Linked DNA regions of Nothobranchius furzeri. The protein of the gene in region 1 purifies or fractionates together with the protein of each later gene. This does not show direct contact. Links are inferred from orthologs where the notes say so. Each region holds a gene or a part of one and is shown on either strand. Other genes may lie near its edges. The genes, in order: pold3, pold1 and sprtn.

Evidence for each region.
Region 2: the proteins of pold3 (region 1) and pold1 purify together in Homo sapiens (co-immunoprecipitation; 8 studies listed by BioGRID and IntAct, with this or other methods). This does not show direct contact. The link is inferred for Nothobranchius furzeri from reciprocal best matches to the Homo sapiens genes POLD3 and POLD1.
Region 3: the proteins of pold3 (region 1) and sprtn purify together in Homo sapiens (affinity purification with mass spectrometry; 3 studies listed by BioGRID, with this or other methods). This does not show direct contact. The link is inferred for Nothobranchius furzeri from reciprocal best matches to the Homo sapiens genes POLD3 and SPRTN.

What each region holds. Positions count from the first base shown.
Region 1 is NC_091751.1:39,611,920-39,616,041, forward strand, and holds the start of pold3 (DNA polymerase delta subunit 3), read right to left. Parts: upstream 2,946-4,122; 5' UTR 2,851-2,945; coding exon 2,794-2,850; intron 2,415-2,793; coding exon 2,359-2,414; intron 2,150-2,358; coding exon 2,050-2,149; intron 1,964-2,049; coding exon 1,924-1,963; intron 1,795-1,923; coding exon 1,662-1,794; intron 1,583-1,661; coding exon 1,336-1,582; intron 1,246-1,335; coding exon 1,185-1,245; intron 1-1,184. UniProt on the Homo sapiens protein: Accessory component of both the DNA polymerase delta complex and the DNA polymerase zeta complex.
Region 2 is NC_091752.1:51,279,748-51,283,395, reverse strand, and holds part of pold1 (DNA polymerase delta catalytic subunit), read right to left. Parts: intron 1,497-3,648; coding exon 1,349-1,496; intron 369-1,348; coding exon 273-368; intron 184-272; coding exon 46-183; intron 1-45. UniProt on the Homo sapiens protein: As the catalytic component of the trimeric (Pol-delta3 complex) and tetrameric DNA polymerase delta complexes (Pol-delta4 complex), plays a crucial role in high fidelity genome replication, including in lagging strand synthesis, and repair.
Region 3 is NC_091742.1:10,760,334-10,764,600, forward strand, and holds sprtn (DNA-dependent metalloprotease SPRTN), read right to left. Parts: upstream 2,888-4,267; 5' UTR 2,699-2,887; coding exon 2,367-2,698; intron 1,982-2,366; coding exon 1,882-1,981; intron 1,788-1,881; coding exon 1,659-1,787; intron 1,584-1,658; coding exon 1,292-1,583; intron 1,203-1,291; coding exon 469-1,202; 3' UTR 249-468; downstream 1-248. Other genes in the region: exoc8 (exocyst complex component 8), read left to right, coding at 3,525-4,267. UniProt on the Homo sapiens protein: DNA-dependent metalloendopeptidase that mediates the proteolytic cleavage of covalent DNA-protein cross-links (DPCs) during DNA synthesis, thereby playing a key role in maintaining genomic integrity.

The DNA.
Region 1 (4,122 bases):
CTTTTCACAAGTAAAGGAACAAATAGCTTCTTTTTCTGGAACATGTTACAGTAGTCAGTGCAGGTTTAAATTATACAAATCCAAATATTCAAAACATAAACAATATGTAAACAAATCAAAGAAACACCACTTGTTTTCTCTTTTACTTGTTTTCTTCATTATCAAAATGAAAATCTAAAACTCCAGTCCACACTTGACTTGAGCACTGTACAAGTCAACCTTTAAAAAATATGTATTTAAAATAAATAGCCACTTTAAACAAATTACTAAAATAACTACTACACTATGTAATCAAATCCAAACGTTCAAGTATAAATGGCATTGAATAAGTAAACAAATCAATGACAAGGAACTAATTGTATATTTCTCTTCATCATCAACAAATAAGATGCAGGGTGTCCGTGACACGGTTTAAATGCTGGCAGAGGACGCTGCGGCTGCAGTATTTAGTGACTCGTTGCATTCTCCCTCAACCAAAAGTCCTCACGTCATGCATTTCAGCTAAAATGCTAATGTTAACCTACCTTGCACTGGCTGTGGAGACGTGGGTGATCGTCACGCAGATGTGCCATTAGATTCGAAGTGTTGCTGCCTTTTGCAGACACTTGTTTCCTGCACGTTCTGCAAACGGGATAGCCGTCTTCTATTAACTGTCCCTCAGCATTTTTCAGAAATCCCAAATATGCCCATACTTCCGATTTAGTCTTCTTTGAGGGCTGATGGATGTCCTGGGCGCTGCCGTCTCCTCCTTCGGCCATTATTTCAGTTTCAAAGTTTTGGTGCCGTTGCAAACTAAAAAGTGCGTGTGCGCGCCGCGGGAACTTCAGCTGAAGCGACGGTGGCTGGTAAGGGTCAGCGCGCCAAAACCGCGGCCACGGTAAACCCACCGAGATAATATAGTTTTTTAAAAACTGGACGGTTATTTTTATTGTCAACTTTTTTACCGGGGTTTACCGCTATACCGGTTACCGTGACAACCCTATATCGGATATTTTTGATCCCGTCCGATTTAATCCGATACAGTGATTTTGGGCCGATATCGAATTACTTCAGATATCAATATTGGAACGGGACATCCCTAATTAAAAAACAAAATTAATATTAACCAGTTTAAAATGATTTAAAGAAATAAATATTAAAGAGTAAATAAAGGATGAATCACTACAATTGTCATGTGGACTTACTTCCAAAGAAGTTTTCCACTGAGTTGGTCTTAGAAGCTTGTTTGTTTGGGGGGACTTCCAACTAGAATGAAACAAATAGATAAAAATAATTCAATAGATGTCACATTCCCTTCAGTTTAACTGGAAAACGATAGAGAAAAACAAATCTTACCATGGGTGATTCTTCTCTTTGTTCAGGTTTGCTGCTCTCCTGATTCTTTGGTGTAGGTTGTTTTGCAAACATTGCCACAATGCCTTTCTGGGTCTTCGCCGATGGTTTAGAAGCCACGCTTGATCCGCTGCTTACACCCAATTTTTGTGATTCAGGCGCCGATGCAGGAGCTCGCTCAGTTTCCCGTGCCTGCTGCAGCTCCACAGGAGACATCGGCACAGCTTTGGAGCATTGGATCGCGCTGTATCTACACATCAAATAAAGGAACCGTTTAGAGACAAGTCCCAAGAAGCAGATGTTTACAGCTGCAAGGAAACCCAACATACCTGCTGCAGTTTTTTAGATTGTCCTTTAAAGCATCGTAGTCAACATTGTAGAGAGGGCTGCTGTCTTTCAATAAAGCTTTCTGGACGCTGTAGATGTGAACACTCACTATCAAGTTCATTTTGGATTTAAAGTCTGCAGGACGAAAAAATAAATAAATAAACTGAACAAATTCACCCTTTTTAATTGATCCAATGAATTAAAATCTTAAGAGTATAGGACAGGAAATCCTTCATCAAGCTGTGAGAAATAACATTTACTGACCTTCCAGCTGGTCTTCTCTGACAACTGACACCTTGTGGCACTGAAATGCAAATAAATCATGTAACAATCATTTTATCTCCTGTTTAAAAATATGTAGTCAGAGCCAGAAAAGTTATCTTTGCTCACAGTTTGACCTTTGTCGACAAGTTTCCCTGAGACAAGATAGGTAGCATGCAGCTCAGGTGAGCTTTCCTTCCTCTTGTTCTCCAAATAATGATAAAGCATCCTAAAAGTACATTTTAGATGCAATCAGCAACAACAGCTCACTTTTACAGTTGTTTTACAGAAAAAAATCCACAGCGGCTAGGAGTTCAGACTAGAATCTGACATATTTGTGATGAACTTGTAGATGCAATAATTATTTAGGCTCAAACTGTGAAATCTAATTTTTTTCATTTATATGTTTAAACTTGTGGCAGAAACTGGATAACTTACTGTTTTGCTGTGTTGACATGGACTCCGAGAGTGAGACTCAGCCATTTATAAGTTACCTGAAAATAAAAAAGAAAATACAAGATATTATCTGTAATGATGAGCTGGTTCTTGCTATTGAATCCTAGTGTAACACCACTGGTGGCTGTAAAGCTTTAGCTAAAACACATATCGTTAATTCAAACGAACTTTATAATGTAGTTTGAAAGCCGAATGACCCTGAACAACTGTCCAAAATCGCAGCAAGTGATAAATATCGCCTTTTATATAGAATACCGTTGTGACAGCAGTATGATAATCAACAGTCCGAATTTTCAGCGTAATTTTGCTGCTAGCGACCTCGAAGCTAGTTCGCGTTCAACCACTTTAAACCTTTATAAGTTCTACCAAAGCAAGCTGAACACAAGCGGACACATCGCGGGTCAAAATGATTCTTACAATCTTGTTGTGGTCGTTGACAAATTCGTCTATATTTTCCAAATAAAGCTCGTCCATTTTTAACAGGATTTGTTACGATCGACGATGTTAGCTAAAGTAATTTGACTGCGCGGGAATCCAGTTTATTTACTTCCTGTCAGATGTCACGTGTTCGGACACTGTTCCGGTGCAATTCAAATTTACTGGTTGCCCTCTACAGGCCAATGTGCGCTATAGTAGCTTTTCACAGCGATTACGAGGAGAGATGACAATTGAAATCAGTCACTTTTATTTATTTATTTGTTTATTAATTTTAAATGAGTGATTTTGTTTTCTGAGAGATATGTGCATGAATTAGTATTTATGTTCTGTCTCAATCAAAAATCTTTGTGAGAACGTTTCCCTAAGGTTTGATGACTTAAATTGTCCTGCCTCTTTGAGAAAGTTTATAAAAGCAACAACATACAGAGTTACTAATGATCAAAATGCTTTAAAAACTGAACATTTGACCAGTCAAGTGGTGATAAAGTATCCTGAATAAAAAGAAGTTGAACTCTGAAGCATCTGCAGGAGGTCAGCAGCATCAAAAGGAGATTTTAATTATCTGTTTAGGCATAGAAGTTTAGAAGTGTGAAGGAGAAGATTGTTTGTTAGACATAATCCACTGACATGACTGTAAAAGTCACATGAGACAGTAAAGATTCAAAGCACAAGAGCAGCTCTTTGACAGGTTAATTAAAAGCATGAAGCTCTGAGAGCAGCAGTTCATCATTATTCACCTTCATCTGTGCTAGAAACAATAATAATCAGCAACATCCGCACTCCCTCTCTGCATTTTGATGAAAATCTCCAAAAATAATAACTGGATGTAAATCTGTAATCAACTCACGTTTGGCTGCGATAGCTAGTCTCAGTTATCAAACACATAAATGCTTATATCTCAGTCAATTTTACAGATGTTGAGCAACAAATCCACATGGACAGGATTTAGCAGCATTGCACAATATTGCACATAATGAGATTACAACTTCAGTTGTCAATATAACATGGCTGAAGTTGAAATCTGGAGTGAAAGTCTGCTGCACACGTGCATTTCTGTAACCCTCTCAGATAAGTTTTGATAGAAGGTCGGATGTAGCAATATGAATGGCCTCATTTTGTGTCCCAAAGGTCACACTTCCCCAGCTAGGTTGAGCTAGGTCGAGCTGTACATTGGGTGTGTCCGAATCCACAGGAAGGATGCTTATGAGTACGGGTCCTCGCCGGTCTAGCAAGCCCGGGTCCTTGAAGACCGCTAAAATCGGAAGTCAGCGGCTCTGAATTCGGACAGTCTGGCCTTCACCTCTACGG
Region 2 (3,648 bases), on another chromosome or scaffold:
GCTGCTCTCTAACGACGAGACCAACGTGTCCTGCTGAAGGCTCACCTTCTCAAACTCCAGCTTGATTGGGGGTGTAAAATGGGAAGACACCCAGGCAGCTGCTTCCCTCCCGATATCCATGGCCTCCTTCACAGTAGCAACTCCAAGCTTGACCATGACGGAGTCCGTGTCTCCGTAGATGACCTTACAGGAATTATTAGTAAACACACATATTTCAGTGTTTACGACACAAACAAGTCTGGTTTATCAGGAATCAGAGGCGTGTTCCTCACCTTAGCATCAGCGTCACAACCATTGGAGATGGTGTACTTGGACTCCACCAGCTGCTTGGTCCGCTCAATCATCTGTCTTCCAAAACCAGTCACACTCTGAACAACGGAGATACACGTCATCGGTTCAAATTCTGTTACCATTCTGGGAATTGAACTGTTGAAATTACATTTGTTTCACCCAGGATCAAAAGCACCGGCCTCTTTGAGCGTGATCAATACATCATGATTTTCATGGACTCTTGAGTTAGAAACTAGGGATGCGCTTTTTTCCAAACCGATACGATACTTGGATCTGAATACTCGCCAATACCGATTACCGATACCTATACTTCTAACACACAAAAAAATGCAATGATTTGGAATGCAGATTTTATTTTCTTCTCTGCCTTCAACAGGAAAAGACTGTGAGGTAGATAAAAAGTAAAATATATGAATGGAAATCATCACAAAACTAAAATATTAGGTGAACAGAAATGACAAGTTACAGTGAAGCCATTTTCAAGCAACTGCATTGGCATCGGTTCCTGGTATCGGTTAACTTTTACCGATACCGAGACCAGTATCGTATCGGTATCTGCACCGATACGGATACTATCGGTGCATCCCTATTAGAAACCATAATTATGCTGGTCAGATTTCTATTAAGACCTCAAACCAAAAGAAACGCTGAGTCTGTTTAGTCAAACTTTAGCATAAATAGGAATTATTTATTAAATGTCCCTGTTTATAGGATTAAAACAGCTGATATGATAACTTTTCTCAGGCCAGAAGGACACCGTCTTTTATATAAAGTATAAATACTTCTGATACAACTTTCTATGATGATTTATTTACAACAGCTCTTTGGCACCATTTGTTTACACTTCTGTCTCCACCTGCTAAAACAAAACACCTGTGGTGTGGTTTTTATTTAAATGCTCATCTTCACTCTGCATCCCCGTGGTTTACCGCTCAGGCGCCGACATCCCATCAGCGCACAACCGTGTGAGAGGGAACTCAAACAAGGGTAAACCCCAACCTGGAACCTGGAGTCCAGCTGTTCCACTCTGAGTGGTCATCACGCCCCGGGTGCTCACCTGTGAGATCTCCAAGCAGGGCAGCTTGCCCACCTGAGCCCCGGTGAAGCCGTAGACGGAGTTCGCACTGATTTTCAGAGCCAGCTGTCGACCATCCAGCACCTGCTTCTTAAAAGGGTCCGTTTCACTCTTCAGCTCTGCCTTGGCCCTGTGGACAGACGATAGACGAATCCAAGAAAGGACAAAACACCTGGAACATCTGGCTTAGTCCACAACACACACAGAGGATCAGAACCAATAGTTTTTATTAGGGGTGTAATGGTTCACGGGGGTTATGTGAACCGTTTCGGTTTATTTTTCCCGTTAAATAATGAACTTTTCACACAATCGCACAAATTAAGCGCAGATAAAAGTTCCTCGGGGAGTTTCCGCTCAGACGCTGTATTGAATGACGCATGATGGCTGCACGCGCCCGATCTCCGTTTAAAAAACGTGATCTGCAAATTCTGATCAAAGTCTTTCGGAGCGGATCAAACCAGTTGACTGTTGCAGCTGCAGTGGAGTCCGTGTAGAGACTCTGAGCACCGTGTCGCCTCTCCCTCCCTTCTCTCACAGTGTGCAGGCACACAGTGGCAAACATGTCTGCTGAACCTTTCCGCTGGGACAACTGATGTAAAGTTTTCATCCTACAAAGAAAAATACGGTGCGGAGGATGCTCGTTATTTAATATGAGTTTTAAAGAAGAAACTCTGCGGTGTGAGGTGAGCGTTTAAGAAATAAAAACATGTCAAACACAACACTCGTCTGTATGAGAATGAGCTGCGCCAATCATAGACATGAATACGTAGACGCCCCGTTGGGCGCTGGAGTGTGTAAAAGCGTCGCTGCCATGTTGGATGGGTCTCCTCACTCTCCAAAGTCAATGCAGAGTGAGCAACTATGCCCTTTTCCGTGCAGCCTACGGTTACAACAACCAGCGTACTATTGATAACAGATCACGTGGGATTACTAGTGACTTTTCTAGCCTACCTGATAGGATTTTATATTTAATATTTATTTTTAATTAATTATATTTATATTTTAATTAATTTTATCATGCCGTACCTTGTGTTTTATTTTGTGAAAAAGCTTGATAAAACGTGTTTTTTAGTTGGGTAAGCACCTTCCTCAGTAGAAATGAATGCACTGGGGGCTAATCTATCTAAAATGGCGGTTGGCCAATACGGCATCTCCAACAGGCAGCGACTGTCGACGGGGCATCTGTGCATGTACAGAGTATCTGCAGGTTTAAGGGAGCCAAATTTAAGACTTTTTAAGACCTTTTTTAAGGCCACTTTGACCAAATTTAAGCTACTTTTGAAATTAAATTTAAGCTATAATTTCTAGCTATTGCCTGGAACCGGTGCTAACCACATCGCAAAAGTGGGATTAACCATCCAGTTACCATCAAACTTGCACTTCCCCATGGCGCAAGCTACCACCAGCTTAACCAGCTAATGTGCTCATCTAAAAATAGTCCCCTTTCACAAGCAACTGAATGTGTACGGTTCCGCTTACGCCAACATCATACACAAAAATGCTGAACACTAACTAGAAATTCACAAAATTTAATAGAAACAAAATGATTTTGTTTATTGGGTCTTTGGTCATTTAAGACCTCTGGAAACTGTATTTAAGGATTATTTGTCATTTTAAAGGATTTTTAAGGCCTTAAATTTGGAAAAGCAAATTTAAGAATTTTTAAGGACACGCGGATACCCTGCATATATGTCTGTGGCGCAAATAACCTGAGAAGTAATTAAATACATCATGCTAGATTAGCAGCCTGTGATGACCCCTGGTTCTGCTCACTATAGGAGCCACTTCAGATATTAAATAATTAAATAAATCTAATAACCGGGCGACGGTGGCACAGGAGTTAAGTGCTCGTCCCGTAATCGGAAGGTTGCAGGTTCGAGCCCCACTCAGTCTGTCGCTGTCGTTGTGTCCTTGGGCAAGACACTTAACCCACGTTGCCTGCTGGTGGTGGTCGGAGGGACCGGTGGCGCCAGTGCTCGGCAGCCTCGCCTCTGTCAGTGCGCCCCAGGGCAGCTGTGGCTACATTGTAGCTCATTCCCACCAGTGTGTGAATGTGTGTGTGAATGGGTGAATGATTGATTGTGTTGTAAAGCGCCTTGGGGGGTTTCGAGAACTCTAGAAGGCGCTATATCAAATACAGGCCATTTACCATTTACCATTTATAATAATAATATACCGAAAATTAATCGAACCAAGCCCTTCAAAACACTGAAACGAACCGAATACGAGTTTAGCGTACCGTTGCACCCCTAGTTTTTATTGGAAGAAATGGGATCCTATGG
Region 3 (4,267 bases), on another chromosome or scaffold:
CTACATCTTTCTGTTCCAGGTCTCACATCACTGATGAGATCTGTGTGTGATCAATAACTCTGCAGCTGAGTCCAAGTGAAGGTGTACAAAGCAAAAAGCAAACGGAAGTGAAATGTTAGCAGCAGAGATCTGTCCTCTGGAGGAAGCATCAGACATCAGAACCCAAAATAAACCCAGTGACCTTCAGAAGAACTCTACTCCCTCTGCAAACCTCCTACACCTCAGACAAAGAGGGTCTGACTACATTATAAACTTATTTATTCAAGTAGAAACCAGCTTTAAAAACATTTTAACAAAACCCTGCTGTTCTGTAAATGCAGTTGAGGCACAAGCTGTCAGAGAGCCACTTGAGTTAGAAAATACCTCAATATTACTGTCAAGTGACAAAATATCTGTTAAACTAGAGATTAAAGCACAAAACAGACATCTAAAACTTTGGTTCGTAAAACCATTTAGTTTAAAAGTCCTTCAGAACAGGCAGGAATCAAGATGCTCATTTATCTTTGACTCCTGGACTTTAGTTTGGCACACGGGACAGCTGACCATCAGCACGTTGGCGGCGGCGGAGGGCGTGTGCAGCCCTCCAGGGGGTTGAAGTGATGTGGAGGAGCTGGAAGCTGCAGTAACAGCTGATTTGGTCTTTTCCTGCTCCCTTGATGATGCTGAACTGCTGCTTAATGTCTTGTCAACAAAATCAAAAATGGTGGCCGAGCTGCTGCAGTCATCCCACAGCCTCTCCCTGGGCGCCTGACCTTGGCTCGCTGCCCCAGGTGTGTCGACACCGACAGAGGAAGAATTTGGAGACATTGCCGCTCTTTTAGTCTCTGAGCCTGAGGGATGGCTTGTTGACTTTCTGTGAGTTTTGACATTGAAGAGATCGTGAATGGACCTCTGCTTGAACGCGTCGGCCCCGTGACCCCCAGAGCTGCTCCTAGATTTAGGAATTTTAACAGGTGAGCCGTTAATGTTTACAAAAGCTTTTGTGTTCCCGACAGACGTCTTTGCAGGTGGCTTTCCCCCTGAGGAGGCAGCTGCTCCACTGGAGACGGTTTTGGTTTGGTCAGGAACGGAAGACTTCTTAGGAGTGGAGGCGACGCTGGACGGAGGTGCTGAGGGAGATGTGGAGGTCTGGCACGTCGCTCCTAAGAGGAAACCTTTCCCACTGAATGGGATGATGTTCCTTATATCCTGAGATCCAGAACCTGAGCAGAAAGAAAGAAAGAAATGTTTTTGTATTTGGTCCTGATGGCAAATCCTGAATAAACTACTTAAAAAAATAGAAAAACTTCACCTTTACTTGTATTTAAAGGCTTGCCAGTACGTAAAGTCTTCTCTGAGGTGTTTGCATCCTTCTTCCCATCTTTTTTGCCTTTTTTCCTGTATCCTTCTGGCTCTTTGATCTTGGTGTACGTCCCGCCACACATCCTTTGATGATCCTCCCACCAAGGGTCCAGAGAAGATGGAGCTCGGTTGATAGCCCTCTTCACATAACCAAAGAAAGGCCTCCGGCTCTGGCAGGGCCCATTGCACCTCCACCAGTGCTGCCTGTAGACATCGACCTCATCATGGAAGCTGTGGTAGATCTGACCGAGGGACAAGAGGAGATTGTTATCGTAAAGTCAACCAAAACCACACAGAGCTGAAGGAGAAACACTTACTGTGATTTTCGTCCCACTGGCCTTGTTGATCCTGTTCATGTGTTTGCAGAACTCAGGACCGTGGCCTTCTCGGTCTCGGTTGTTCTGGGTCACAAACAGCAGTGCATGAATCATTTCATGAAGGAGAGTCTGTGGAAACAATCAAATTAACAAATTATTAGCAATAATCTGGATGAGGATTTTCTGTCTTTAAGATCCACTAATGTAAAGTGACCCATCCCACCTCCACCAGGTCTTTTCTGGGTCTCAGCTTCAAAAGAGGCTCACTGAGCCGGATGGAACAGAGTCCGCCTCGGCCTTCGTAAGAACACACACCAGCACACCTAGGTACGGAAACACACAGGAGGCATTTTCTCAAAACTCTGTTATTCCTGTAACACAGCGCTGGAGTGGAGGACATCAAAACAAGAAACAGGACACATTTTATACAATAGAGAAGGCCTTAACATTGCATAGAAGCACAAGGAAACCATAATAGAGCTTCATGAAACTGGACATTTTTTGCTTTTTTAGAAATTATGTTTGACATACTTTGTGTCAGATATTTAGTGGTACCCATTTGTTTAATCTTTTACCTTATTTTTCTTCAATAATGATGTTTTTCCAAGCATCTCGCGCTTTGTGGCTACCATATTTGAATCCCAGTAAAGCCAACAGTGTTTATAAACATCCCTGCTGTAGGAAATCTGGTGAACAAACAAAACTTACAGTGTCATTCTGGGGCTCCACTTCACCTCGACTCCGCTCAGTTTCCCCCAGAAGAACAGGCTATTAAACTCCAGAAACATGGCCCTCACATCTGGGTTTGGGTCCAGCATCTCCCAGGACTCATCCACGATGCTCAGGGGTTTCTCAGGCTCGTGACCCGGCTTCCAGGAGGGGACAGCAGCGCTGCCACCTCCGGCTGCTTCCACTTTCCGTCTCTTACTGCTTTGTTCGAAGTAATTATCCTCGAATCTATTTGATGAGGTTAATGACGTCTCGTACTCATTATCGAACTGCTCCTGTAATTTAATGGCAAGCAGGAAATCCGCATCCATGACATCAGAAGGCAGCTGTGCTAGCTTGTTAGCTGACTTGCTAATGTAAATAGCACGAAGTTCTGGAACAAACGACGTCTGCAGCCTAATTATAAAATCAACCTTTCAGAGAAACATCGGTAAAAGGACTGAAGTCATGACTTTGAAAGATGAATCTCATCTTCTTGTCAGCCAAAGGTATCTGTAATAATAGTCGGTCTGTCCACAGCTCGCGCCAAACAGCAGGTTTGCTACATGTACTACATTACAACGAGTCTCTTTCCGTATGAACTTCTAAATAAAAAACTACTTCAAACTTAATTTCGTGTTTGATTTGGCTTTCCCCGCTTAGTTTTGTATCTTATTTTAATCAGCAGATGACTAAAATTAGCTTGTTTAAACGCTGTTGAAAATCTGTAATGTTTCTGCAGCTACCGTAAACTTCCGGTAGGTAAATAGTTGGACAACAAAACACCTATTCCGGGTGTTGTTCAATAGCCCAGTAATCAGTAACAACTGCAAAATAACAACACACAAAAAGCAAAATGAGTAAATAAATAAACAGAAGCTTTAAAATAAAAATAAAACATTGTTTGGTTTACCTGAAAGATCAATAACAATTTTGTTCTGAGTTTTTGTTGATCATCCTTTTTGTTCTCCCTTCTCGTGACGTTCATGTGACGTTGACAACCCGGGTGTTGGAGAAGCCAGATCCTTTTGGGGTGTTGACCTGTTTTCAGCTTCCTGTGTTTGTTGACGTGGATATGAAGGCGCTCGTTCTCTGTTTGCGTTTCTCGTCAGTTTGTTAACAGTTTTGCTTAATAAGGAAACACGCAGACAACCAAAGATGTCGGAAACCGGGAACCGACTTCGGAAGCTGCTGGAATCGCCCAACTTCGATCCACAGAACTACGTCAAGCAGCTGTCACAGCAGTCGGATGGCGACAGAGACCTTCAGGAGCATCGTCAGAAAATTCAAACTCTGGCTGATGAAACGGCCCAAAACCTCAAGAAGAACGTGTACAAGAACTACAGACAGTTCATCGAAACGGCCAAGGAGATCTCCTTCCTGGAGAGCGAGATGTACCAGCTGAGCCACATCCTCACCGAGCAGAAGAGCATCATGGAGAGCATCACTCAGGCCTTACTGTCCACAGACAAGGACGAGACCTCCAAAGAGATGCAGGCAGCGTTCCCCAAAGAGACAGAGGACCTGAAGCAGAGGACTCTCACCTCACTGCTGGAGAAGGTGGAAGGAGCTAAAAACATCATGGACACCCCAGGGAGACACCTGGTCTACAATGGAGACCTCGTGGAGTTTGATGTGGACAACATGTCCCCCATCCAGAAGGCTCATGCTTTCCTGATGAATGACTGCCTGTTGATTGCCACCTGGCTGCCTAACCGCAGAGGCACAGTGAAGTATAAATACAATGCCCTGTATGATCTGGAGAGCTTTGCTGTGGTCAACGTAAAGGACAACCCTCCCATGAAGGACATGTTCAAGATTCTCATGTTCCCAGACAGCCGCATCTTCCAGGTGGAAAACAGCAAAGTCAAGAAGGAGTGGCTGGAGATCCTGGATGAAAC